3 linked regions of the Coturnix japonica genome follow. The protein of the gene in region 2 purifies or fractionates together with the protein of the main gene of each other region. This does not show direct contact. Links are inferred from orthologs where the notes say so. Each region holds a gene or a part of one and is shown on either strand. Other genes may lie near its edges.

Region 1 (8,086 bases), on a different chromosome or scaffold from region 2:
CAAAGGCTACTTCAGAAACAGATCATTTTTACACCACAACGCTCTGTCACTCAAACTAGTTCAGCTTAAGCTTTGCACGAACATTCACTGCTATCACCTCTTGGCTGAGGCTACAAACAGATGCTCTCATCCAAGGGAACAAGAGCAAAAGCTAACACCTCAAAACGAGGTCACAACACCACAAATTTATCCTGAAATCTACATCCACCTTTTTAGTACTGCACAACTAGGCTTCCTGGAATAGCAGAATTCAGAACAGCCATCACTCTTTTGAAATACACTTCACAGAGTTAAATGTATGTTTGTACTTCGAGTGAGACCATGAGAATTGTTCCAGCCTGCTGTACAAACAGATCCTTCTGTTGTTTTATCTTAAAGTTTTAAATAGAGAACTTATTTTTAATGCCAATCGCCCTGTCAGCCAACGATTGTGCTATTTGTTTGTGCACAGTCTGCCCTGTTGCATTCAGCACTCCTGCACACGCAGTTCAAGAGACAGACAGGTTAAAAATATCACAGCAGATATGTTTAGTAAGTTGGTCTGGTTCTTCCTTCCAGGCACACAAATAAATGCATGTAATGCAAAGGAGCAAAGTGTTAGAAGCTCGCTCTTTGGAAAACTTTGGATGTGCAGAAAAAACAGATAGGAAAAAACGAATGAAATTCCCACCCCTCCAAAGCTCTCTTGTGCTACCGTCTCCTCTTCTAACATCTTCCCTTTAGGACTTTGTTTCAGGAGCTACTGGAATTCAAGCTTTGAAATGGGACTCAACCAGCACTTCCTGGGTGCAAATGCAGTCATTTTACTTCTGTTTTAAATTCATCCCTCTCACATGGGGCACTTAATTGCTTGTACACTGATACTATCAGTATTCCTAAGTAAATTTATCTCAGTATCGATTTTTACCTGTTCAGGTAAGAGGTGCCTGAGCTGGCAATTTCTTCCTGTCCTTGTGTAACATAGAAAAACATTGGCTTATCTGGCTGCGGCCACTGGAAATCAAACCCTTTCTTCACACGGTCAGCTGAAGAACACAAAAGTGATCAAGTCAGTACTGCTTTACTAAAAATCCACTTTCACAGCAATACCTCAAAGACTCAAAACCATCAGTGTGGAAGCAGTTCCCTTCCTAATTGAATTTAAAAGAAACTAATCTAGATCAAAGAATTTCTCCTTCGATCCTTAATGAACTGTAGAGAAAGGAATTTGAAGGAAATGCCATTCTTACTCACCTGCAGTGACACCATTCTGGAGCGAGCCCTCATAGAAGATGTTGGATGGGAAAGCACTCAGGGCAGGGTGCATGCGGTACTGCACCTGCAGGCGGATGGGACGAATCCCCAGCACTACCAGCCTCTCAAACAGGGACTGAGACAGGCCTGCCTTTGCAGCTTTCTTACACATCACAACAGGACCAAGCTGGCAATGGTCACCTACGAGAATAAGCTGTGGAAAAGAAAAAATCACCACTGATGACAACGCAGATACCTAAGTCTGAATTTTCTGCCTAAATTACTACTTCACCTATTTATAAATCACACATTAAGGACATCTGATGGCTCATACCTGCTTTGCTCCCAGCACAACTGGCACCATGCACTCTGGCTCAGTGGCTTGGGTGCTCTCATCGATCAGAATGGAGCGAAACTGCATTTTTGCAAGTCTTGGATCACCAGCTCCCACACACGTGCAACAGATCACATCTGCATTCTGAGACAGAAACACAACCGAAATCAATCAAGCAGGACAGATAACACTTCCAAACAGAAGGTCACTGAATATCATTCCAGGGATCTCCCCAAAAATTAAACTGCACACTGATATCTGCCAACAAACTGCAACTAAGCTTCCAGTGGGAGAAGGCAGTAACAGGACTATTGTATCTAGTGGAACTTTACCATGAGCAATTCACGCTCTGCTGTTCGTTTCAGTGCACGGTAGCGTTTCTCATCAGCAGATGACAGTTCTCCAGTTTCATCTTTGAGTTGTTGCAGCTTCTGAAGCTCTGGCATGCTGCAAAAATGGAATTTTGCATTATAATCTAAGTAACAACTCCAGCTCACACTGAAGCTCTTTGCATATTACCACAGAAACAAGAAAATGTGTTTGCCAAACTAAAAATGACTTATGCACAGAGCAAAATATATACAGTCACTGTCAGAGAGCTGTTAAAACAACCTCATCCATCACTATACCTGAGGTTTGGGGGTTTTGGGGGTGTCTTCCCCTCTCCTCTCACCCATTTCTTACCTATCCATGTTTCTGATCTGGTTATGCAGTGCCAAGAAGGATACAGGTGAGTCAATTGCCTCACGGCTTTTAGCACACAGCCGAACCACTTTCAGACCAGTCTGATGGATCTTCTCTGTCAGCTGATCTACAGCTATGTTACTCGGAGCACACACTAACACAGGCCTTGGGGGAAAAAAAAGAAGGCAAAAAAGTAAGTGCCAATGAACTAAAAGCTTCTCCCTGCACAAAAGGACCCTAAAATTAAGCTACTGATGAACATCTTCTGATTTAAGCTCAGAACTTCACAGAATAATACGCTTCTAGAAAATCTTCCCAGTTCAAAGGATACAGACTGCTTAAGTGTTTAAATGTGAGCTGATTCTCTGGACCAATAATGAGGTAAGCTCAGGCATAAAGATTCAGAGAAGTTCTTACCCATTGCCCTGTCTAGCCAGATGATAGACAATGGTAGCTGATGTCACTGTTTTTCCAGTACCAGGGGGACCCTGGATAAGGCTCAGAGGACGCTGCAGGACAGTCTTCACAGCATAAACCTATGGAATTATTGTAATGCTATTCAGTATTCCATGCACTCAACATCAGTCATAAATCCTTTATCATATTCTTTGCATGTAGAAAAAAGGAAGATGAGGTTACCTGAGAATGGTTGAGATCAGGAAGTCCTTGTGCTGTAAAGCGCTTTGGCAACTGGCATTTAATAATTACATCTTCCACCTCATGGCCTAACAGTTTGTGATAGATGTATCCTGACACCGAAGTCTCATCCACAGCAAATGTTTTTAAAGCACTCTGCATTCTGAAATGAACAAAGGACAAAAAACATAACAATATCAGGATTACCTCAGATGAAATTATGCATAAACGTCTAACAGAAGTTAATCAGCCATCAGACATATTAAAACACAGCTTTGGGAAAAAAGACAGTGCAAAGCATCTAATAGCAGAATTATGAGCCCCAAAGTTATTAGACTTCCAGAACACAGATCTTTGTTTCTCCAGTGTGCATTCCACAAAGTATAACCACAAACCAGCCATGGAACTGGACTCTGACAGAGTTTGCAGTGGATGTTTTAGGTGCAAGATCTGAATAAAAGCTGTACTCAGTCCCTCTATTTCATGACAACAAACAAACTCCTATCTCACAACACGCAGTATGGACACATCTCAAGCCCACAGCCCCCACAGCTGATTCAGTTTCCTTGAGATTGTCAAAGTTATTCAAAGTTGAGGAGAGCAAATAAGAACAGAGATCCCTTCATGACTGCATTAACAAACAGAACCTCAAATCTTTTTCTTCTTAAATCCTAAATGCTACTAAGCTTGAGGCTAATTTTTCCCCTTGGATTTGCATGTTACATGAATGTATTTCCAAAATCCCTGAATGTGCTTTCGAAGTGAGAAACAGTGACAGCTTGGAATTCAGCTGAACATTACCACCTCTAACAACAATTAGAGCTGTTGCTCTGTGAAGCAGGTGTCACGTTCGTGAACTTGATGAACTCAATACACTCCCTCTGATTACGAGCATAATGAAACAATACATCATCTCGTGTTCAAAAATCCCACTGAAGTCAGAAGAAAAAATATACACCTACTGAACTCATTATGAACTCATCTGCTCAGTTTAAGTGCTTTCAATACCTGTCAAATGAAGTAGACTTCCACACAAAATCCACTTGGAAGTTATGAGTAACCTCCACAGGGGCTCCAACGCTGCTCCTCAGCTCAATGGCTATCTCATCACCATAATCTGTAGAACCTCGTTAAGTAGTAATCTATAGCAAAAATTTGAATTTTATTTTTCCCGATTTTGATTTATTAAAGTAGACACCCACTAATTACAATAGTTCCAAAATTACTTATGTACACAATTTAGGGGTTCCTCAGAGATAATTTAACATTTCATTTAGCCTCATCTGAAGGCTCACTAAGTAAAGGATACTATCAGGAACTTTGATAACATGGCCAATTCCTTTCCACAATGGGGCCAGGTCTCCTTTATACCTCAAGCAGATCTCATCTCCTTGCATAAGACGCATATCTACAAAGCAAAGAGAAAAAAGAACATTTACAACAACCAGCCCACAGTGCAGAAAACCTACAGGACTATCTTATATTCCAGGCCAGAGCATTACAGTTCTTTAAATAGTGATGTTATTCACCAGGTAAAAAAAACATGAAGTTGAGCTGTCATTACCTGAATCAGTCTTTGGCAAAGTGAAATAAGCAATTCTTTTCTTGTTCAAGCCCAGGTCCCATCTGACTGTGATGTTATCTTGGGTCTAACAATAAAGAAAGATCAAATATTATGTTCTTAAGGAGCTGTTCACCAACTACCACAATTCTCATGGCCCTAAACTTCAAAACAGTGGAGAAATACAAAACTTGCTCTTCCACTGCCGTCAAATGCCTGTATTTATTATTATGGACTGTATTAACACCACCTGTAGAAGTTAATTCTGTTTCAAAGACAACATGTTTAGTTAATGAGAAATATGTTGTAATCACCACCTGTGTTTGCTTTATAAAAAACCATTAAGTGTCCCCAACATATTACAAGCTTGACTGGAAAGTGACTGATAAAAGGTATCTACATGTTATGAGTAAAAGAACATAACAGAAGGTGGCCAAGAAGCAGCTCTGACAAAGAATATGATTCTAGGAAAGACAAACTTGGAATTCAGAACAGATGGAAGACCTTAAGTGTTGTCTCAAGTTTTTCCCTGTGATCACACATCATTACTACTGTTAATTACTGTCAGGTCTTTATTACAGTAATATTACATATACTTCATTTTAGTTTTTCCTTCTATTAAGTGAGAGAACTGGTCAGAAGTCCCCCCCACCCACTTTTCAAGCAGGTTACCTGAGACTCCTTAAGCTTCTTGTCATAGTCTGCCTCAAGCTTGACTAGAGGACCAAATATATTTTGGTACTGATAAGCATCTTCGTATCTAAGCAGGACATGCTGTGGCTCTTCATCAACACCAGGCTTTTCTAAGTCCTCAAGGGTTGCGGATGGATTTTCCTAGAATTTAACACACAAGTCTTGTTTGTGCTTAAAACTTTGAAACAAGTGACAATAAACCGCTAAAACTATACTGAGATATTATGTCATGCTCAACTACCTGCAGTCAAGTTTGTTCTGCATTAACAGATGTACAGAAAAAGCTCTCAAAAAGCAGAGACTGACTACAGACTGACTGACAGAACCCAAAGATGAAGCTTTCCTACTTTAACAGGTGATCTCCTGAATTCTCTAGTAAATTCCCAGTTGTATTGCTTCTCAAAAGGTTAAGGTTTGAACCTCATATATATTAGGTTACGTTTCCTGCTTTACACTGTTGCTAAAACAGCCTTGTCCCTCCTTTATAAGACACAAAACCAGCACTAAGTAAAACTTAAATGGTATCTGAAATGTGGGAAATACCTTCCAAAGTTCTTCCAGTTTGTTAATCTGCTGAGCTGTAATCTGACGTGCTCTCAGCTGTTCCTGCTCAGATGGAATCTTTACCAGCCACGAAAGGAAACAGCGATCTTGGATAAGAGGCTGCCACTGTGAACTGTCCCAATTAATATCCTTTAAACTGCTCTGACTTGCACATGGCTGCCTGCACAACCAAAATATTGGAAAAAGTTATTACTTTGAAACAGCTGTAAGGGAATCTACCAAAGTATAAGAACATGTTTAATGTATTCTTCAAACATATTAAGCATCTTGGTTAAAAGAAGAGAGCCAACACTAGTAGCCTGCTGAGCCAATTCATCAGTTCCTTCATTTGGTATTTCAACACTGCAGAGGCAAGGTATCCTGATCAGAATTTCTTCTGTATTATTAGGACTGAAAAAACTCAGCATCTAAGATACTAAACATGACGTAGGGATAAAAAGGAGAGTATAAAACACTGAGGTACAAAGTGAAAGCTGATGGCTGTCATGTAGAAATCCAGTTGTGCAATACTTAACACAAACACTGTAATAAAGGCATTCTCTCACCTGCACAGCAAAACAACCACAGAGTCTGCCTTAGCTGGAATAAAGCCAAGGAGAAACACATTACGACATCCGCAGTTGTAACATTCCAGGACAGTCTCTCCTAGAGGTCCATCTTTATGGAGAGTCACCTCTTTGCACTTTGCTCTCACAAGATGATTAACAATGTGGCTGAAACCAGAGAGGATGTGTATTTATAAGCAGTCAATATGAAAACCAGATTTAGTTCTAACTTTATGTAACATAGCAACTCAGTCATTATTAAGAGATAAACAAAAACCTATTCATACTTTGGCAGACGTTAGTAATTCCCTGCTCTTTTCATCCAGGCCAAGATGACTGCTGACAGTTTCAGTGTTTTTCCAGTGCATAAATACTTTGAAGTGAATGTGAAAGAAGGGGCAATGTGTAAGAAATTGTTATTTGGAAGCAGCTTCCTGACGCTCCAGAGATCACAGCATGAGTTACGCTGCTCTGCAAGAGCACAGGGGGAAGAAGCAGTGAGCTCACGTCACAAAAGTAATTCAGGTTCCACTGAGATGAAGCTGTAAGCTCATAACAGGAAAAGGTAGAGGTTGGAGGTTCACATTCAAGTCACGAGACTTCAATCATGGTGGAAAATATAAGTCACACCCATTATGCCATTTCAAAACAAACACTAAAGCAAGTTTGCCCATCTAATTTCCATCATTTAATCATTTACCTGCCAGATGTATTTCCACGCCCATTACAGAACCACTTTTTGCTGGTGTTGCAGTAAACCACACAGGCAGGGTCATGGATACCACAGTAACTGGAAATGAAACGAGATGAGGAAGTGGTTGGGAAATTGTTAATAGGAAAATGCAAATACAAGATTTAGAAGTGCACAAAATAAGGCGAAGTGAAAATTAGGAATCATGAGAGTTGTTGGAAGCACCTAACACATGAGTTAAACATCTGGTCTGAGGCAAGCTCTTTAACTATTTCTATCATTACCATTTCTAGGATGGCTCAACTTTGTAGTCCTTAGAAGAAAGGCCCAAGAGCTCAGCAATGCAGCACGGTCAGAGCACGCAGGAGCTCAGCAGGGGGCACTCCCAGCCTAGCAGCAGGCGGTTGCCAGCTCTTAATATTCCAGCCATGCACATTGCACTCAGTGCCCCCACCTTCAGGAAACGATCAGCTCTCACCTGCAAGCATGCACGGGAAGATCCTTTGTATAGTAAGTATCTTCTTCATCTTCTTCAAAATTCAGCTCTGCCAGAAGCTGGCTGGTTTTAGCTACATTATCATCCACTGCTCCATTCTGCAGAATGCCATCAGGTCCATTAACCTGCAGTACAAGGTCAGTGCTTAGGTTATACTATCAAAATATGTTCAGAACAAATGGTAATCCCTACTTTGTTATGTAAAAACTTATCTTTAACTCAGGAAAAAGCTCAGAAGAACATAAAACCGATAAGAGTTTGAAATACACACCACATATAACAAAAATAATCACTTATACATTGTATATATAATCAATGCTTGCTTCATTAGTTCCTATTTGACAGGAATCATGAAGCGTCAGTTCACAAATAGGAAAAATGAATGACAAAAGTCAATTTTTCTCTGAGGATTATCTTCTTCTCTATCCACCAAACCAATCCTCCTCCTCAGAGACTCCAGAAGCGAAGACAACAGGGAGCAGGGGACCAAGACCAGTTCCAATGCATATCTAACTAAAATAGAGCAAGAAAGAACAGAAGCTGGCTCTCAGCACACTGCCCAGCTCTCTAAGCAGCATCACTTGCTCTGTGTGTATCACCTGTATGACATGCAACCAAATAATCCAGGTGTGACAATCCCTACTGTGTT
Region 2 (6,915 bases):
CGCCATCGCTGCTCGCCCGCCACACGGCCCGCCCCGCCCCGCCCGGCTCCGGACGCGCCCACCGCGCCGCCTCGCGGGGGGGAACCGCCTCGTCGCCTCACACCGCCAGCTCCGCCCGAGCCGAGACCCCGCGCCGCTCCGCAGCCATATTCCTGCCCGGTGCCGCCGGTCCCGGCGCCGCCATCAGGCTGCGGGAGGCGCGGGGGGACGGGCACCCCCCGGCAGATGGCGGTGGTGCGGGCCGAGCTGCAGGCGGGGCCGGGAGGAGGACAGCGGAACCGCGCTTGGGGAGCGCTGAGAGGGCGGGCGGTGTCCGTAATGGTGTGTGGGAATAAGGGCGGCTATAAGGGCCTGCTCAGCCTGGATGAGGGCACTGAGCTAAGCCGGCAGATGACACCATGTTGGCAGGTGATGATCTGGCTGGAGGCAGCAGGGCCATACAGAGATGTGGACAGGATGATGGCAGGGATGAGCTTAACGAGACCATCACTACAACCACAGGCAGCACCACAGGCCTGGGGCAGAGCGGCTGCACGGAGAGAAGGGATCTGGGAACATGAGGTGACAGCCACAGAATCACAGAATGAGCCGGGTTGGAAGGGACCTCAAGGATCATGTAGTTCCAACCCCCCTGCCTGGCAGGGCCACCAAACATACACCTTTACTAGATCAGGTTGCCCAGGGCCCCGTCCAACCTGGTCTGGAACACCTCCAAGGACGGGGCATCCACAACCTCCCTGGGCAGCCTGTTCCAGGACCTAACCACTCTCCTAGTGAAGAACTTCCCCCTAACATCCAACCTAAATCTTCCCTCTTTTAACTTAAAAGCCAGCTGGAAAGGCTTGGGGTGTTCCATGTGTGGAGACTGGGGGAGAACTGAGCCCAGCCAGCACTCACAGCTCCACAGAAAAGTGGAGAATACGGGATTTTCTAGGAGATAAATCCCTGCCCTGCCCTTGATGTGTTCTTCCCTTTCTCCTTTCCACCTTCATAAATGAAGCTCAGCTCTGCTGAACCCACTCCACCACCAGGACGGCATACACCAAACCAGCCGATTCATTCAGGTCCATATTTATTAACAAGCCCGTACACTGTTAATACTTATGATTCCTGAAAGAAAAAGAACGCTAATAGAACACAGTCTTCATGTTTCAGATGCCAAACGCTTTAAGATTGTTCCTGTTGATATCATGAGCCTGGCCTGGCCCATAGCACCGCAGTGCGGTCCTACAGGAGGAATGTCTTGAGGGCTGTTATCAGCATTTGGGGTCTATCGATCTGACGCAGAAAGACCAGCGTTATTAGAGCTCCTGGGAGACAGTCTGTGTTACAAGCCCAGTTTGGTCCTTCTCCAGTGCCTCCTTTTGGAGTTGTACCTAAGGCAAAAACATCAGTTAGCAAAACACACACAACTGAGCAGCCAGGTGGACTGAAACCACCTTTAATGAGCTCAATAATCAGTGAAGGATTGCCATCATGCTACGGCGTCAAGCTGCCAACAAAAGTCAACTCTGGACTTTCTCTCCTCTTCTGGAGAGGAAAATACCCCCACGCACATCCTGCCCAATGAGCATTAAAGCTATTGCCTGGAGCCTAAGGCATACACATGATTTGTGATGATGAGCAGCATATGGAAAGTACACTTCTATTCGTGTTCATGTTAAGGACAAACAGCCTCACCGACACAGAGGTGAAACCAAAGGCAGCGTTAACAGGGTTACTCTGAGCAGGGGAATGGCAGTACTCCCACAGCAGGAAGCACTGCAATTGCAGCCTGCTATAGCACACAGCTTGGAAGGTAAAGAAGCATTTAAGTGCCAGGAGATGAGAAATAAGAGATTAGGCTGGATGATATCTATGTGCCCGTGTGGAAGCTGCATCCGTGCATGTAACACCTTTGAGTACGTGCACACTGTTACCACACCAACGAGGGTCCTGCGCGCTGCTGGCCCACAGCATCTCCACCAGCACCAGCCGATCCATTACCTGATCTTATTGCCCGTTTTCATGCGAATCCATTGCGGAATGGGGCGATTTTGCTTCTGCTTCTTGGCGAGGAAGCGTTTGATCTTGAAAGTCTTGTGAGACGACTGCAAAACAAAGGGCCGGTCAGCGCGGCGGGCCCGGGGAGCTCGGCCAGGCCCCGGGAGCTCGGCCAGGCCGCACATCGACTCGATGCTAACCAGCGCCCTCCCGCCCCACCAGAACCCAGCCTGGCCCCGCCGCGAGCCCCGAGCCAGCGTCCGGTGTGAAGCGGGCAGGGAACACCGCGTCCCGGCCCCGGATGGCAGCGGATGGCCTCACCATAGCGCTGCGCGGCCCGGCGTCCCGGCGATGGCGGCTGCGGAAGAGGCGGAAGGGGCGGGATGAGGGCGGGGCGGCGGCGCATGAGCACAGCGCCCCCCAGCGGCGCGGCGGAGCATGAGCACTGCGGCAGCGAGTGATTGCGGAGCTTTATTGGGCCGAGTACAAACGCGCTACGGATAAAGGAGAGAGCTTAAAGGAGCCGCGACCGGCCGAGTCTCTTTCCGGGCTGTCAAACAACACCTGAAAACAGAGGGAAGATGAAGCACAGACCGAGGACAGCGGCTGGGAAACGTTTCACGCTCGAACAGAAGGGGATGCTCTGTACAACTACATCTGATCAAAATAAGCATTTCAGTGTTGGTCGACTTTTACAAAGGAATTTCAAGCAGTATCAGTATCCCATACCAAGCCAGCTTAGTCATACACTCCAACTTAACTCTCTCTCGAGGAAGGGCTCTCCCCTCCTGAGCTCACTGTGCAATTCCAGATGTTCTCCCTTCCTACCTCACCCAGCGGCACACCTGGCTGTGCTACTGCCATCAACGAGCTGTCGTTGCTTTGGAAGGAGCACCACACAGCTTAACAGCACACCACTGCTAGCTCGCTCTGCTTGAGAGCATCGTACAGTGGTTCCAATGGCTCTATAGTAAAGCTCTGCATTAGATCCAGGTGTCATCTCCTCCCAGCTGCAGGACTCATTTATTATCATACTTAAGGCCACAAAGTCTTTCTACTTTGCAAAGGTTCTCTTCTCCGTTGTAGTTAGATGCTAGGAAAATAAATTCAAAGAACTGAAAATACAATGAGAACATTTCAAATTCCAAATCTACAACTGAGGTTCTTTAGCCAGAAACATCCAACAGCGCAATGCCCCCACTCCTCTTCCTCTGTTCCTTCTTCGCTTCGAAGGCACTTCTGGATTGCGTAGTACAAGCTCTTTGGCTGCACAGAACACATAAGGCCTGCGTGCTGGTCACTCCTCTTCCCTCACATTACTGCTCTCACTCTCTTGTTTCTTCTCTGCTCCCTGATCTGTGGACTTTGCAGCACTGTCTTCATACTGACACAATCTGCTTCTGCTTCGGGCTCCAGGCTGGTACAGCTGCATTGCTGGACGATCCTGAAATAAATCAAAACTATTTAGACCCCTTCAGAGCCCCAGCACTCTCAAGGTTATAATGACAGCAGTAATATAACAGAAGGCTCAAATTCAAACCCTTCAGACTGTTTTAAAATATATTATTCCACCAGGGCGGCAATGCAAGTTCAACTGCCTCGAATCAAGGTTGCCCCTGTTCAAGCCACAAAGAACACCGCACCTGCTTGAAGTTATTGGTACTTTACTTCTATTTCTGAATAGAAATATTCAGAGCCAGAATAGGAGGAAGGTCTGGCTCTTCCTCCTGCAGAATTCAGACCAACTTTGAAGTTCCTCCAAAACCTCTTCTATTTGTACCCAACAACGTCCTAGGTGACACATAAGACTTACATAGCAATCCCTTACGTACTTGTACTGCAAAAGCAGACCTGCACAGCACGTATAACTGAACTCAAAACATTTCATCAAGAATTTATTCTTAGGATCTTCCATTATATTTGGCACGTAACAGCCTTGTCCCTGTTTTGGAGGAACCTGATCAACTGCTCTCCTACTCCAAGATACCTTTTCAGGCACATACATCAAAAGATGCAGATTAGTGATGCTGTACCAACACCTGCCAACGGGCTGGATCTTTATCAAATGAAGTGGGATCAAGGTATTTACAACTGAGCCCACTGCCTTGGCTTAATTCCTGTACAGTGATGAGGGGAAAAAAATAAAATCAATGTCTGAAAGCTTAGTAAACAAATGGGCAGCCTTTCTAGCAGTTTGTTACATTAACAGGGAGAACTATGACAGAAACAATACGGTTCTTTCCTCAAAGTGCATTTATCCTAAAAACACAGATCGGCCCCTGTGAATTAACACACGAAATTGAAGAAATACAGCACCTTGTTTCTGATCCGATCCCTCTTAATTGTATCCTCTTTTTTATCATCTTTGGTTACTTTCTCAGATTTGTCCGTGCCGCAGGTAAAGTCTGTAAGATCACTTTTCTTTCCCTTATCTCTGAGCAAGTCTCTCTCCTTTTTCACCTCTTCCTCTTTTCTTCTAAAAACCTTTTCTTTCTCAAAGCGTTCTTTCTGCCTCCGACGCTCTTCCTCCTGGCGTCTCAGTTTCTCCCTCTGTGCTCTCTCATATTCTCTGTCTCTTTCAAAATCTCTATCTCGATCCCTGTAGTCCTTTACACACTCATCTTCCGATCTGTATGAAAACAAAACTGAAGATGAAGCTCAAAAGATTCAGCAGAGTTGGGAGATCAACGTAATACTGCTGTAAATTTGCAATATGAAGACGACAGACTGGTAGGTTCTAGGTTTGGGAAACTGTCCTAACCCAAGTCATGCACGATAACCAGAGACGGCACCAAGTGCTGACATTTCTTAGCCTTCTGGTCACATAGCTGGCCGAGTCTCCACTGGCTTCCAAAGCATCTAAAGTTCTCTGCCACACGTGGCAGAACTGCACCCTGAACAGATCATGAAGCTGCTGAGTATTAGATTTCCACCTTGCCCTTCTACAAGACTTAAAGGGACTAGTAACTGCGATATGCCTCTCCTCTTGCCACAGTTATCATTCTTTCATTGCCAGGATTGTGCTCTCAGCCTGCTGTAGGTCCCCTACACCTGGGCTTCTCTTGTGGAGTTCCTAGAGAGAGGTGCAAAAGAAACCTTAAAGTTTGTCCACTAGTGAAGAAATGACGTAATTCACACATCTTCTTACAACCACGGGGATGTTGCACTGCCACAGGAAACACATCCCACACCTTACAGCAGAAAAATCACCTGAAAGGGATTTCAAAACACGGTCAAGGCAGAGCAGCCTGACCCTCGGTACGATCAGGAAACACGTTATATATACACATAGATATTTATAGCAAGTACTAAAATACTTTTTTGCCTTCTCTTCTTTTGTCTCCCCATCAGATCGTTTGGCAGATGCACTACTCGCATTTTTTTCCTCCCTCAGAGTCTCTTTTTCCAGTTTCTTGGATTTTTCTTTTTTCTCCAAGTCTTTCTCATCTTTTTCAGGCTTCTTAAGCAGCTACAAAGAAAACACAAGTCTCAACTAAAAAGCTCACTCTAATACATATTTGTCTGGCACAACACTGAAATTGCATCAGGGGAACCACAGCCCAGTAAGGAATGCACATTAATTTTACTGCAAACTGCAGTACTTTAAAAGCTGGAGTGTATGAGTAAGCATCATCCACACAACATATTGGATTTTTTTTTCCCTTAAAACACACGTTAGAAAGCTTAAAAATAAGTCTCTATTTCATAGTAAAATCACGATTTTGTTCACCACGGCATGTACAAGTCACGTGACAAAAGCTTTAAGTATTACTATGAAGCGTTACAGCACATTAATTTTTACAATGCCTACTATTAAATATTACAAAAAAAGTGGTAATTTACGAACACCGAACTCATGTGATTCTTCACACAGAGCACATTTTGAAAGACTTATATACAAATAATAGGGGAAAAGGAATGTAACAGTTTATAATAAAGAACTGTTCTAGACCTTAATCTTTGGTTCTTCTTTTGATCTGTCTCTTTCTTTTTCTGGACATCTGTCTACTTTCTTCAGTTTTTCTGCTTCCTTTCTCTTTCTTCTCTCCTCCTCCTTCCATTTTCTTCTTTCTTCTTCCCTTTGTCTTTTTCTTTCCAATTCTCTCCTCCTCCTCTCCTCTCTCTTTTCCTCTCTGAGCCTCTATGTGTGTCAAAAACAAAGAAACGGTGTATCTCCGATCTAGAAAACATCCCTTTAAGTCCCACAGGGTATTTTGCTATGAAGTGATGGAGTATTCCATTAGAAAGTAACTCATCTCAGAACTCTCCCTATTACACAAATACAGTTCTCTCTATTATACTATTGTGAACCTGAACACATTACAGCAGTGACATTTTAAAGCACAGTACAAGTCAAGATTTATGGCAGGAAAAGAGACTGGAGACTCAGCCTTTAACATTCTAATTTCAATTAAACCTGTTTCATCAGTGACCTTCTGAATTGCTAGACATTAAAACGATATTATGTGCTGGGAGAATAATTATCTACAAGGACCTCAATCAGAACTGCATTAAAACACAAGTATTGTAATGGGATCTGGTTTGGCAGTGCCACAGAGATGTCCAGCATGGTGCTGGCTGTGACCAGGACATACAAAACATCACTGTAATTAATAGTTGTAATAGTTTAACATATGCAAACTAACTATGAGCAAGGAAATTGGATCGAAAGCTGCTTCTCCAAGAAGAAGAGCAATAACATATCAATAAACACACTTCAATATATGCACTCATGCTCTAAACAAGCCAATTATTCTACCTGTATTATTGTAGAAGAAGATTCTGGGCACAAGTCTTACCTGCTTATTTTTCAAGAAGTTCAGTAAGGGAGTTGTCTTTTTAGCTAGAAAACACACAAAAGCTAGTGTAAATAATGTTTTATCTGGTACTGCAATACCTGTAACAATTCTATATCACATGAAGAAGCCTTAT
Region 3 (8,731 bases), on a different chromosome or scaffold from region 2:
CCATGATGTGATCCTGCCAAAAAAGAGCAGAACTTAAGGATGTACAGCACTATCACTGAGCAGCTCTGGCTGGTACAGAGCACACAGCACCACATCAGCTTTGAATCAATGCCACCTGCAGGAGATATATTCCACTGATCAGGTGTGGAAAGGACACTGAGATTACCACATCCTCTACTGACATCTATGTCTGTTTCACTTCAGATCACTCTAATCCTTAACAGAATTACTGGCTGAACACCACCACAGGCTACAAAAGCTGCACTAGTGTAAAAACCTTCCTGGGGACCTTAGGAAAGTGAAGTTGTGTCCTCACTTAGAAAGTCTTAAGGTGCAATTCTTAATATTGTGTTTTTAAATAGCATTTTTTCAGCACCCTAAACTTGTATTTCTGCAGACCTTTAAACTACATTCTAGCAAAGACAACTCCAGCCAGTCCAGCTCTCCTGAAGCTCCTTTTGGTGAACCCCCCAGGTGTCCTTAATGCCTCCCAGGTGATTTCTACTGCTGTACTGACTTCTACAGCTTTCTTCCTAGGAAGGTGGAGCTCTCGGGTACCAATAAGGCAGACAGAACTTTTAACACTACTGAATTACACAAGCCCACAGTTAATTTGACTTGAGGAAGTTCTACTGAAGCATTCCACGCTCATCAGTTTGGACACAAAGCAAGCATTTCCAACAGCAATGTGCTGGCAGTACACCAGCAACAAAACAAACCTTGAAGGCTTTAAAAAAAGCCACCAACACACGCCCACAGGGGTGCACCTGCGTGGCATTACAGGAGAACATGCCATTACCTTGGTGACGTTTCTAGTGAGCCTCCCAACGTGCACTTTTGTAGGTCTGGGTGATGGGCTGCGCCGCTTCCGCTCCTTTTCATCTCTCTTCGGTGGCTTGGACCTGATTTGGACATGAAAACATTCACAGTTTTCAGGGGAAACAAGACGACAAGAACTAGAAGCTGGCATCCATTTTGACTGCCATTAATAGAAACATGCCTGTTCTAACAAAATTCACATCTCTAAGTTACGGAGAATGCAGACCATCCTTGGTAAAAATCTGTTTGATCACAACCTTGTATTGCACAAGGAACCTGCTCTGTAGGAATTCCTAAAGACAACATGAACTCACTTGGAGCGGGACCGCCTCCTGTTGTCATGTCTCCGTCGGGACGGACTGGGGGATCCAGAGGAGCTGCTGGAACTTGAACTGCGTGAGGTGCTGGAGCTCCCAGAGCGGCTTGAGGCAGAAGAGGAGCTCGAGCCACTGCTGGAACCAGTGCTGGAACTGGATCCTGAGCTGGAAGTGGAGCTGGAGCGGGACCTGGTAAAGGAAGCAAAACATGAGTGGAATACCCAGAAAAAGAATGGCTGAAGCTCTTCTCCTGGTAGACAGAAAGCAACTGCAAGTTACAGCAATGAAAACCGACTCTCCATAGCTCACTAATTCCACCATACTTCACAACGGTCAAAACCCCTTCCTTTAATCTTTCCATTGTGACCAATGCAATTCAAAGGTTGTGTAAATCTGAGCCGTGTGGAAGTCAGCAAAAGGTGGCTCTGAAAACATGTATTTGTTACTGCCTGTAATGGTAGCTACCTGGTGCTGCTACTCCCACTGGAAGCACTGCGCCTTTTGCGCGTCTTGTCCCGACCACGATCCTTTTCACCCGATTCCTTAGTGGCTGCTTTGTCCTTGGATCGGTCCTTTGATTTCTCTTCAGACCTATCCTTGCGTTTGGTTGGTGAGGGAGCCCTTCAAGAATACATGGCAGAAGGGATTGTTTAATATGGAAAACACACTCAAACAAGGAACAGAACAGCAACACAAAACACTGAACTTTAAATGTAATTGAAGACACCAAAAGAGCAGAGTTAAAGCATTAGGTAAGTTCGAGCTTTTTAGGAAAAAGGAAAATGTGTTACATTGCAGAGTAGCAGCTTTGCGGACAGCAGGTCCAGCACACAGAACTTACTGTCATGTGTAAGTTCACCCACAGAGATATTTTCAACTCCTTACCCTCACTGGGAAAGCCCCAGTACCCTACAGCATCCCCGCTTCCAGCAGGCCTTGAAAATCTGGAATGATTACCTAGTGCTGGATTTTTTGTTATTTTCTTTAAGACCCAGCAAACTCTTCTTTTTAATTCCCATTAACTCTGTTTCCCCTTCAGAGGTATCCAAAGCAAAACAGGCCTCACTTGTGCCAAATCTCAGTTCTAACCCCTTGCTTCTGAGAAGTGACCCCTAATTGAAAGCAACAGAGCAGCCAAGTGACAAGGTAAGAGTGTTCAGAAACAAGATGAACAGACACAGAAGAGCAGAGCTGCTGTGCACCAGTGGCAGCACACCAGAGGACAAGTGTGTTCTCCAGGGCACTGCAGCCAGGCACAGCACTGCATGGCAGTTACATCCAGCCCCTGGGCCAGCTCAACCTTCATGGAATACAGACCTGTATGCGTGTTTAAAGTTACAAATTGTGATATTCACAGAAGTACAAAAGACCCTCGCTATGTGCTCCCCTTGAAGGCACACAGAGGACATTCATCTCCTACACACGGCACACATGCAGCTCCTGCCTCTTGACAACATCCTCATCTCCAGAGGAAGCTCTGGTTTCTTCCATAGTCACCCTGTGCAGCAAAGCACATGCTTGGCAGGAAGAGATGGCTGCTGAGTAACAATATAGGCTGGTTCATTGAGCAACAGAGATCAGTATATTAGTTTGAGGAGCAATATATTAATTCAGCAAAAGGAATCAATGAGCACTAGTCCTAAAACTCTCCACTTCTGCTTTGCCTGGTGTGTGATCAGCCTTGTTTTCTCTCAATTCCCCTTCATAAGCAGCACTGGAGTCACGACAGACCACTGGTCATTGTATTTCACCAGGGGCAAGGACGCTTTCCTTGGATTTCCACACACGTTGTTTTGGAAGTTGCCCATTATGGCCTAAGAAGCAATGGACGTTTGCAAAATTGGGGAAAACCAGCTCCAGGTGAATCAAAAATGTCAGTGATGGAACTGATGGTGGAAAAATGGGGACAAAGTAAGTGGGCATACAACCAGCAACCACCCTCAGTGTAACTGTGCATGCCCAGAGGAACACGAACATACATTAATGAGTTATTGGAAGAGAATGAACGTGTGTGCCAGTGTGCTGCATGTGTAACTATTAACTGTTTACATGTAAAACCTGAACTCTGACAGCTCAATTCCAAACATTTCCTATGAGAGGGCTGCATCTATCACATACTCTAATGATCACCCAGTTCCACCTCTCTGCAAGATGGGAAGTGAGAGCTCAGAAGCCCAACAAGTGCTTTGCTAATGTCCTGCCTGCTGCTGGAGAGCTGGGAAGAGCTGCATGTAAACAGCACCATCAGCAGCACTCCTGTGTGCACCCACAGGGCTGGCACTTACCAGACTAAACAGCCAAATGCTGCTTACACATCCAGCAACCTCCTGTGAAAGGCTGCTTTTAGGCAGCCCTTAAGGTAACCAGTGTTCTTCTTTCACCCAATGAACACAGACCTTTCCCAGGACAGTTTTAGTTGGAAAGATCAGCCTGGGAGATGCAGCCTCTGGGCACTTTCACTTGTAGGTGCTCAGGCATTCACTAAAACACACCTCCATAAAGAATAACACCGCAGCATGAGCACATTAAAACAACACAAGGAACTTCTAAGCAACATCCACCCTTCCAAGAATGGAAACCAAACCCGACATCCCCAACATCTCAGTGTCTGTGCAGCACCCAGCCCAGCCCAGCCGGCCTCGGGGCACTCTATTAAGCTGCCCATTCCCTGCACACAGTCAGCTATGAGACCTATTCTTACAGAGAGCTGCAGCCAAGGCAACGACCTGGGCTCTCCCTCAGCCTTCCTGCAGGGCAGGCGCGCCCTGCAACGGCAGCTTGTTTATAGTTATATGAACAACAACTATAGCAAAGTTTTCCTCGCGTGATTTAAGGTCAGCCCGCTCGGCAGCTCCTCTCAACGCCCCCGGCCCAGCTCATGGCAGCGCGGGGCCCAGAGCGGCCGGGGCTCAGCCGCTCTCAGGCTGCGGAACGACGCCGGGCACAGCGAGACCCGCGGGTCGCTCCCGACTCGCTGCTCTGCCGCTGCCGGGCGCCGGGACCACCAGGCCCCAACTCCGCTGCAGGCCTCAGCCCCGGCTCCGCCCCGGCCCGGCCTCCCGCCTTCCTCCCCGCCCCCGGTAGGCCGCGGCGCCATCCCTATCCCCCGCGTCCATCCATATCCCCTCCGTCGGCTCCCGCCCGCTCCCCTGGGCAGCCCCGAGATGCGGCGGTGCCGCCCCGAAGCGGCGGCGGGGCGGATGGAGGCGGATGGAGGCGGATGAAAGGCCGATGGCGGCCGATGGCCGCACGGCGCTCAGCCCCAACACACTCACATCCTCGGCGCTCTCAGCGCTCCGGGCCCGGCGCGCGCGATTGGCGCAGAACGAGCGGGAAGAGCGAACGTGTGGCGAGCAGTGATGACGTCACCAGGGGGGAGGAGGGGAGGTGGGCGCCTTAAAGGGGCCGGGCAGGGGATCCATGTTGTCCTGCTGTCACGGTCTGTGGGCGGCCCGTGCCGTTATGGGCACCGCCATGTCCGCCTCATCATGTCCGTGATGGCTCCTGACGAATGGTGACCTTCCCAATGCATAGCTGGCTCTCAGTGTCAGCAGCTGGACGTGAGCCTTTCCCTATTGCTCCAGCAGAGCACAGCAAGGGCTGAACTGGCTCTTAAAGGAAATAAGATCTCAGTGGGTGTGGGTGCAGCTTTGGAATGGCCACCAGCCCCCCAGAGAATACAACAGATGGAGGTTCAGCTGAGATGCTGCATGGGACAGCAGACCAAGTGCCAGCGCTTCTGGGGATGACACTGGGGTGGGAGAAGCGGATTTACGCTCATAGTTAATGATGTTTAATGGGCCACAGCACGAGGGGAAAGCTTTGAGCTCCCACTGCTTTGGGGGGTGTCGTGGTTTTGTACTTGTTGCTGTTGGTAATTCCACATCATGGCTGAGGTGACAGACACTGCACCACGTCCCACTGGTGACATGGGCACTGTGCGCAGCCAAGGCTGCGTGGAGGCGGCCAAGGTGCCACCAGGGACATGGAATGAGTGGGAGGGGACGTGGGGAGGTGAAGCACAGAGGCTCAGGTCAGCAGTTCCAGCAGGCAGGAGGCACTAAGAGCTCAGTGTTTATTGGTTTTGCTCCGATCACGCATGGTTCATACAAGGAACGGGCTGACTCTGCTGTGCACACAGACACGTGCTGCTGGAGGCTGCCTTGGGAAGACTTCCAGGCACCCTGAAGCAAGGCCAGGGTACCCAACTGCCGGTGCCTGGATGGCCATGGGAGGTGTGAGGTTGTTGGCTGTCCCCAGCCTGTGCCAGCACCCAGCTGTGCTGAGCTGTGCTCAGCCGTGTATGTGCTGCAGCAGAGGCATCTCTGAGCTCCTCCCTGTGTTCACAGGATCTTTTCATTTTACTGCTACTTCTACAGCGCAGGCTGCTGCGTGTGCTGCTTCTAAAGCTACTTCCGCAAGCAAGTCTAACATGCACTGCCCTCCTGAAGCTGGAGACTTCCGTGCTGCTTCCAGCAAAGCGCTTTCAGGGCTGCTGGCCTGTCCCTTGTAGGCTGAGAGATGTCAGGCATTTGCTGCTTGGGTGAGGGGTTATGTGCTCATCCGAGGGGCAAGGTGAAGTATTCAGGCTGGAGTTTGCAGCCCCAGTGAGGACACGCTTCCCACCCTTAGGATTAAATGTTGGGCCTTAGGAAGACTGGGTGAGCTGGGGCAGAGCTACAGGAGCTGCAGGCTGTGTGTGCTGCCAGGAGTCTGCCTGGAAGGGCAGCACCACTCACAGGGCGACCCTGGCAGCCATTGTCTGCTTAGAGGCTATTTCCAGCACCTTTATGCTGCTCATCTGCATCCATTCTAGATGAATCCCGAGGAAATCCTCACTATTTGTCCACTTCAGCTTTTTTCCTTCCCCCATTGCTGGCTGGAATGGCTGTCAACTGTGAGATCTGTAGGGGTGTTTTTTTCTATTTTTCCTGGCAGACTAAATTACTAAATATCACAGGGACTGAAGCACAAGGATGTTAAGCACTCGCAGCAGATGAGGGAGCGCTGCAAGGCCTTCGGGGCAGCCTTTACATTGCAAAGAAGGGACTGAAAAGCCAGTGGATGGGGTTTAGTGGGTTACAGATCAGCACCCAAAGCATTTCTACCTACTGTTTACTCTTCTTCCCCACTGAGCCTCTGTCATTGTCTCCCAGTGTCACTGGTCACATCCAACTTCTCTGACTTTCAAGTTCTGCCATATGGGAGAGGGCTTTGGAGAGGGAAAACCCTCCAAAGCCCCAACACTCACTGGCTCCTCTCTGAATCTGCAGATATTGAACTGAAGCAGCAGGCAACAGCTTCTGCCCGGCACCCCCTGATGGAGCTACGTGCTGCCAGCCCCCGGTGTCAGTGTGTGTGCAAACCCCATCTCAGTTCAGCCAGAAGGGTCAAGCCAGGCAGCTGCCAGCTATCGATGTCCTCAGGTCCTGGAATAGCTTTGCATTCTGCAAGGTACCCGAAACAGGCACTTATTGCAGTGCCTAAGTCAAAAAGAAACTGGCCAGGCCAAATCATTTGGTGCTTCTTGAGATTCTGCCTTCTGTTTTTAGGCATTGCTTTTTTCTCTTGGTGCAGGGCAATGCCTGCCAGCCCCAGCAGCTGTGCTGGATGCTGCCAGTGAATTCCTGATTAGATCAACACTGCAGCTCTACAAACAAGATGGAGTGTTTATTCTCAAGAAACAACAAACGTACCTGACCTGGCCTCAGCACAGGGCAAGCTCTTTGCCCTATCTAAAGTGGAACTGCAATGTTGAGTATTCCTCCTCCCCTCACCCGGGTATGCCATAAAGATGCCCTGACCCCTCCCTCCCCCACCAAACCCCTTGATTCACTCCAGGTCTCCTCCAGGAAGGCTGCAATGCTGCTAAGTTCTGCAAGCTGCCACCACACGCCATGGAAACCGGAGCTGTTGGGGAACAGAAGGAGAGAGAGTGAGGCTGGACTTAAGTTGGTACCCAGAAACAGAGGAAGCACACAGAGACTGCAGGAGGAGGAGCAGGAGCACGTGCTGGTGGGCCACGTCCTGGTGGGAAGGCAAACCCAGCAAGGCCACTGCTGAGGGTGGGCTCTGCTTCTTCTCAGGGGCAGCTCTGATGGGACCAGGCACTGCTGGTGGGCACTTAAACTGCTCCCCAGGAGCAAACCCCCACTGCAGGGCTAGATTCACTTCAAGGCAGATGACAGCAATGGCTATAGAGGTAAATTTCTGTTTCTGTTACATTCACATGTAATGACCACAGCAGAGGGGTGTCACAAGCTGTGGCCACCTAACCCCACAATGGAGCTGTAGGCAATGGGCAGCGAGGGGAGGGACACGTACCAGCAACTGCTCTAAGTGCTGTCGGTCTCAGGCTGGCTGGCTGTTTCACGCCTGCAGGAAAGGAACAGAAAAAAAACATGCAGTTACTGAGGGGAAAACAATTGCATCCTGAAGTGAAAGCAGAAACAAACCAATGGAACCACCCTTGCAGGGAGGATGCTTGCTAGAGCAGAGCAATGGTCCTTAGCCCAGAGATTGCAGGTGAGACCTACTGATATATCATAGCCTAAGGACGTGGCAGCTCAGATCATGGGGAGCAAAGTGAGAACCTGCTGGCAGCATCCCACTGCTTGGCTGGGGTAGTGCTCTGTCCTGACTGCCATACTGGGGATGGGAAGGGGACAGAGCCAGAACCCCACTGGGTTGCTCTTTGCCTGCTTGGTTGCACAGCTCTTTGTACACTGACAGCTCCAGCCTGAACTCTCATCTTATTTGCATGGGTGTAAAACCCAAATGGCTTCAGTGTCCCAAGCTGGACTTAACACCTGAATGAATAAGACAAGGGCTGAGCTGTGGCAGTGCAGATGAGCAAATCAGCAACCTGAATGAGCAAATCAGAAGCCCTGATAGAAAGAGACGTCCTCTTCCCAGCTCACTGCCTCCTGGAGGTGGGCTCTCTGAATGCCTTTTCTGCAGTGTGCTGGGAGGCACCAAGAGCCTCCTCCACTCTCCCCACCTTCCTCTGAGCTGACGTTGCACTGGTGCAGCTGCCAAGGAAAGCTCTAATTATAAACTGGCAGATACTTGGTGTGCCTAAGGAAGGTTACTTCAGCTGTCAAGATAACCTGATGCTCAGGGGCTCTATGTCAGCTCTAAATTGCCCTGACAGAGGATTTGGGGTGGCTTACTTTGCAGAGCCAAAACAAGGCTAAACTGTATCATTACACATGCATACCATACACACATGCTGCATATGATACAATATATTGCATACAGGTAGTGCACCACAAACTGCACGACAATGGAGTGTGGCTGTGCAAAACCGAGCTCCCCCAAGCTGTGGATGACAGAAGTGTTCTCTGAGTGCATCTAAATGTTGAGTAATGAAACAGAGGAGAAAAAAAGAAACCCAAGCAGGTGCTTTTTAGTGGCTGAACAGTACAAGGTCACACTCTTCTCTTGTTTGCACAAAGCTATTATCCACATTGCTCTCCTATTTTACCCAAAGTGGCCAGGAAGCTGTACAGACAGTGAGAGCACACCTGGGGCTCCCATAGGTGTGATTACTCCCCATCCCACCACCTGGGTCATGGCAAATTTAGGGCTGAGCC

The links.
Region 1: the proteins of UPF3B (region 2) and UPF1 purify together in Homo sapiens (co-immunoprecipitation; 16 studies listed by BioGRID and IntAct, with this or other methods). This does not show direct contact. The link is inferred for Coturnix japonica from reciprocal best matches to the Homo sapiens genes UPF3B and UPF1.
Region 3: the proteins of UPF3B (region 2) and RNPS1 purify together in Homo sapiens (co-immunoprecipitation; 5 studies listed by BioGRID and IntAct, with this or other methods). This does not show direct contact. The link is inferred for Coturnix japonica from reciprocal best matches to the Homo sapiens genes UPF3B and RNPS1.

Annotation. Positions count from the first base shown.
Region 1 is NC_029543.1:2,803,233-2,811,318, forward strand, and holds part of UPF1 (regulator of nonsense transcripts 1), read right to left. Parts: intron 7,563-8,086; coding exon 7,420-7,562; intron 7,041-7,419; coding exon 6,951-7,040; intron 6,419-6,950; coding exon 6,251-6,418; intron 5,866-6,250; coding exon 5,685-5,865; intron 5,283-5,684; coding exon 5,121-5,282; intron 4,537-5,120; coding exon 4,452-4,536; intron 4,296-4,451; coding exon 4,197-4,295; intron 4,014-4,196; coding exon 3,896-4,013; intron 3,051-3,895; coding exon 2,891-3,050; intron 2,788-2,890; coding exon 2,669-2,787; intron 2,417-2,668; coding exon 2,252-2,416; intron 2,015-2,251; coding exon 1,900-2,014; intron 1,712-1,899; coding exon 1,568-1,711; intron 1,448-1,567; coding exon 1,234-1,447; intron 1,026-1,233; coding exon 908-1,025; intron 1-907. UniProt on the Homo sapiens protein: RNA-dependent helicase required for nonsense-mediated decay (NMD) of aberrant mRNAs containing premature stop codons and modulates the expression level of normal mRNAs.
Region 2 is NC_029519.1:15,384,225-15,391,139, reverse strand, and holds the end of UPF3B (regulator of nonsense transcripts 3B), read right to left. Parts: intron 6,827-6,915; coding exon 6,783-6,826; intron 6,125-6,782; coding exon 5,936-6,124; intron 5,453-5,935; coding exon 5,301-5,452; intron 4,613-5,300; coding exon 4,300-4,612; intron 3,428-4,299; coding exon 3,281-3,427; 3' UTR 2,439-3,280; downstream 1-2,438. Other genes in the region: SEPTIN6 (septin-6), read right to left, coding at 1-6; RPL39 (60S ribosomal protein L39), read right to left, coding at 1,328-1,376, 1,987-2,090, 2,305-2,307. UniProt on the Homo sapiens protein: Involved in nonsense-mediated decay (NMD) of mRNAs containing premature stop codons by associating with the nuclear exon junction complex (EJC) and serving as link between the EJC core and NMD machinery.
Region 3 is NC_029529.1:12,008,353-12,017,083, forward strand, and holds the start of RNPS1 (RNA-binding protein with serine-rich domain 1), read right to left. Parts: upstream 4,597-8,731; 5' UTR 4,414-4,596; coding exon 4,412-4,413; intron 1,758-4,411; coding exon 1,602-1,757; intron 1,326-1,601; coding exon 1,134-1,325; intron 903-1,133; coding exon 800-902; intron 14-799; coding exon 1-13. UniProt on the Homo sapiens protein: Part of pre- and post-splicing multiprotein mRNP complexes. Auxiliary component of the splicing-dependent multiprotein exon junction complex (EJC) deposited at splice junction on mRNAs.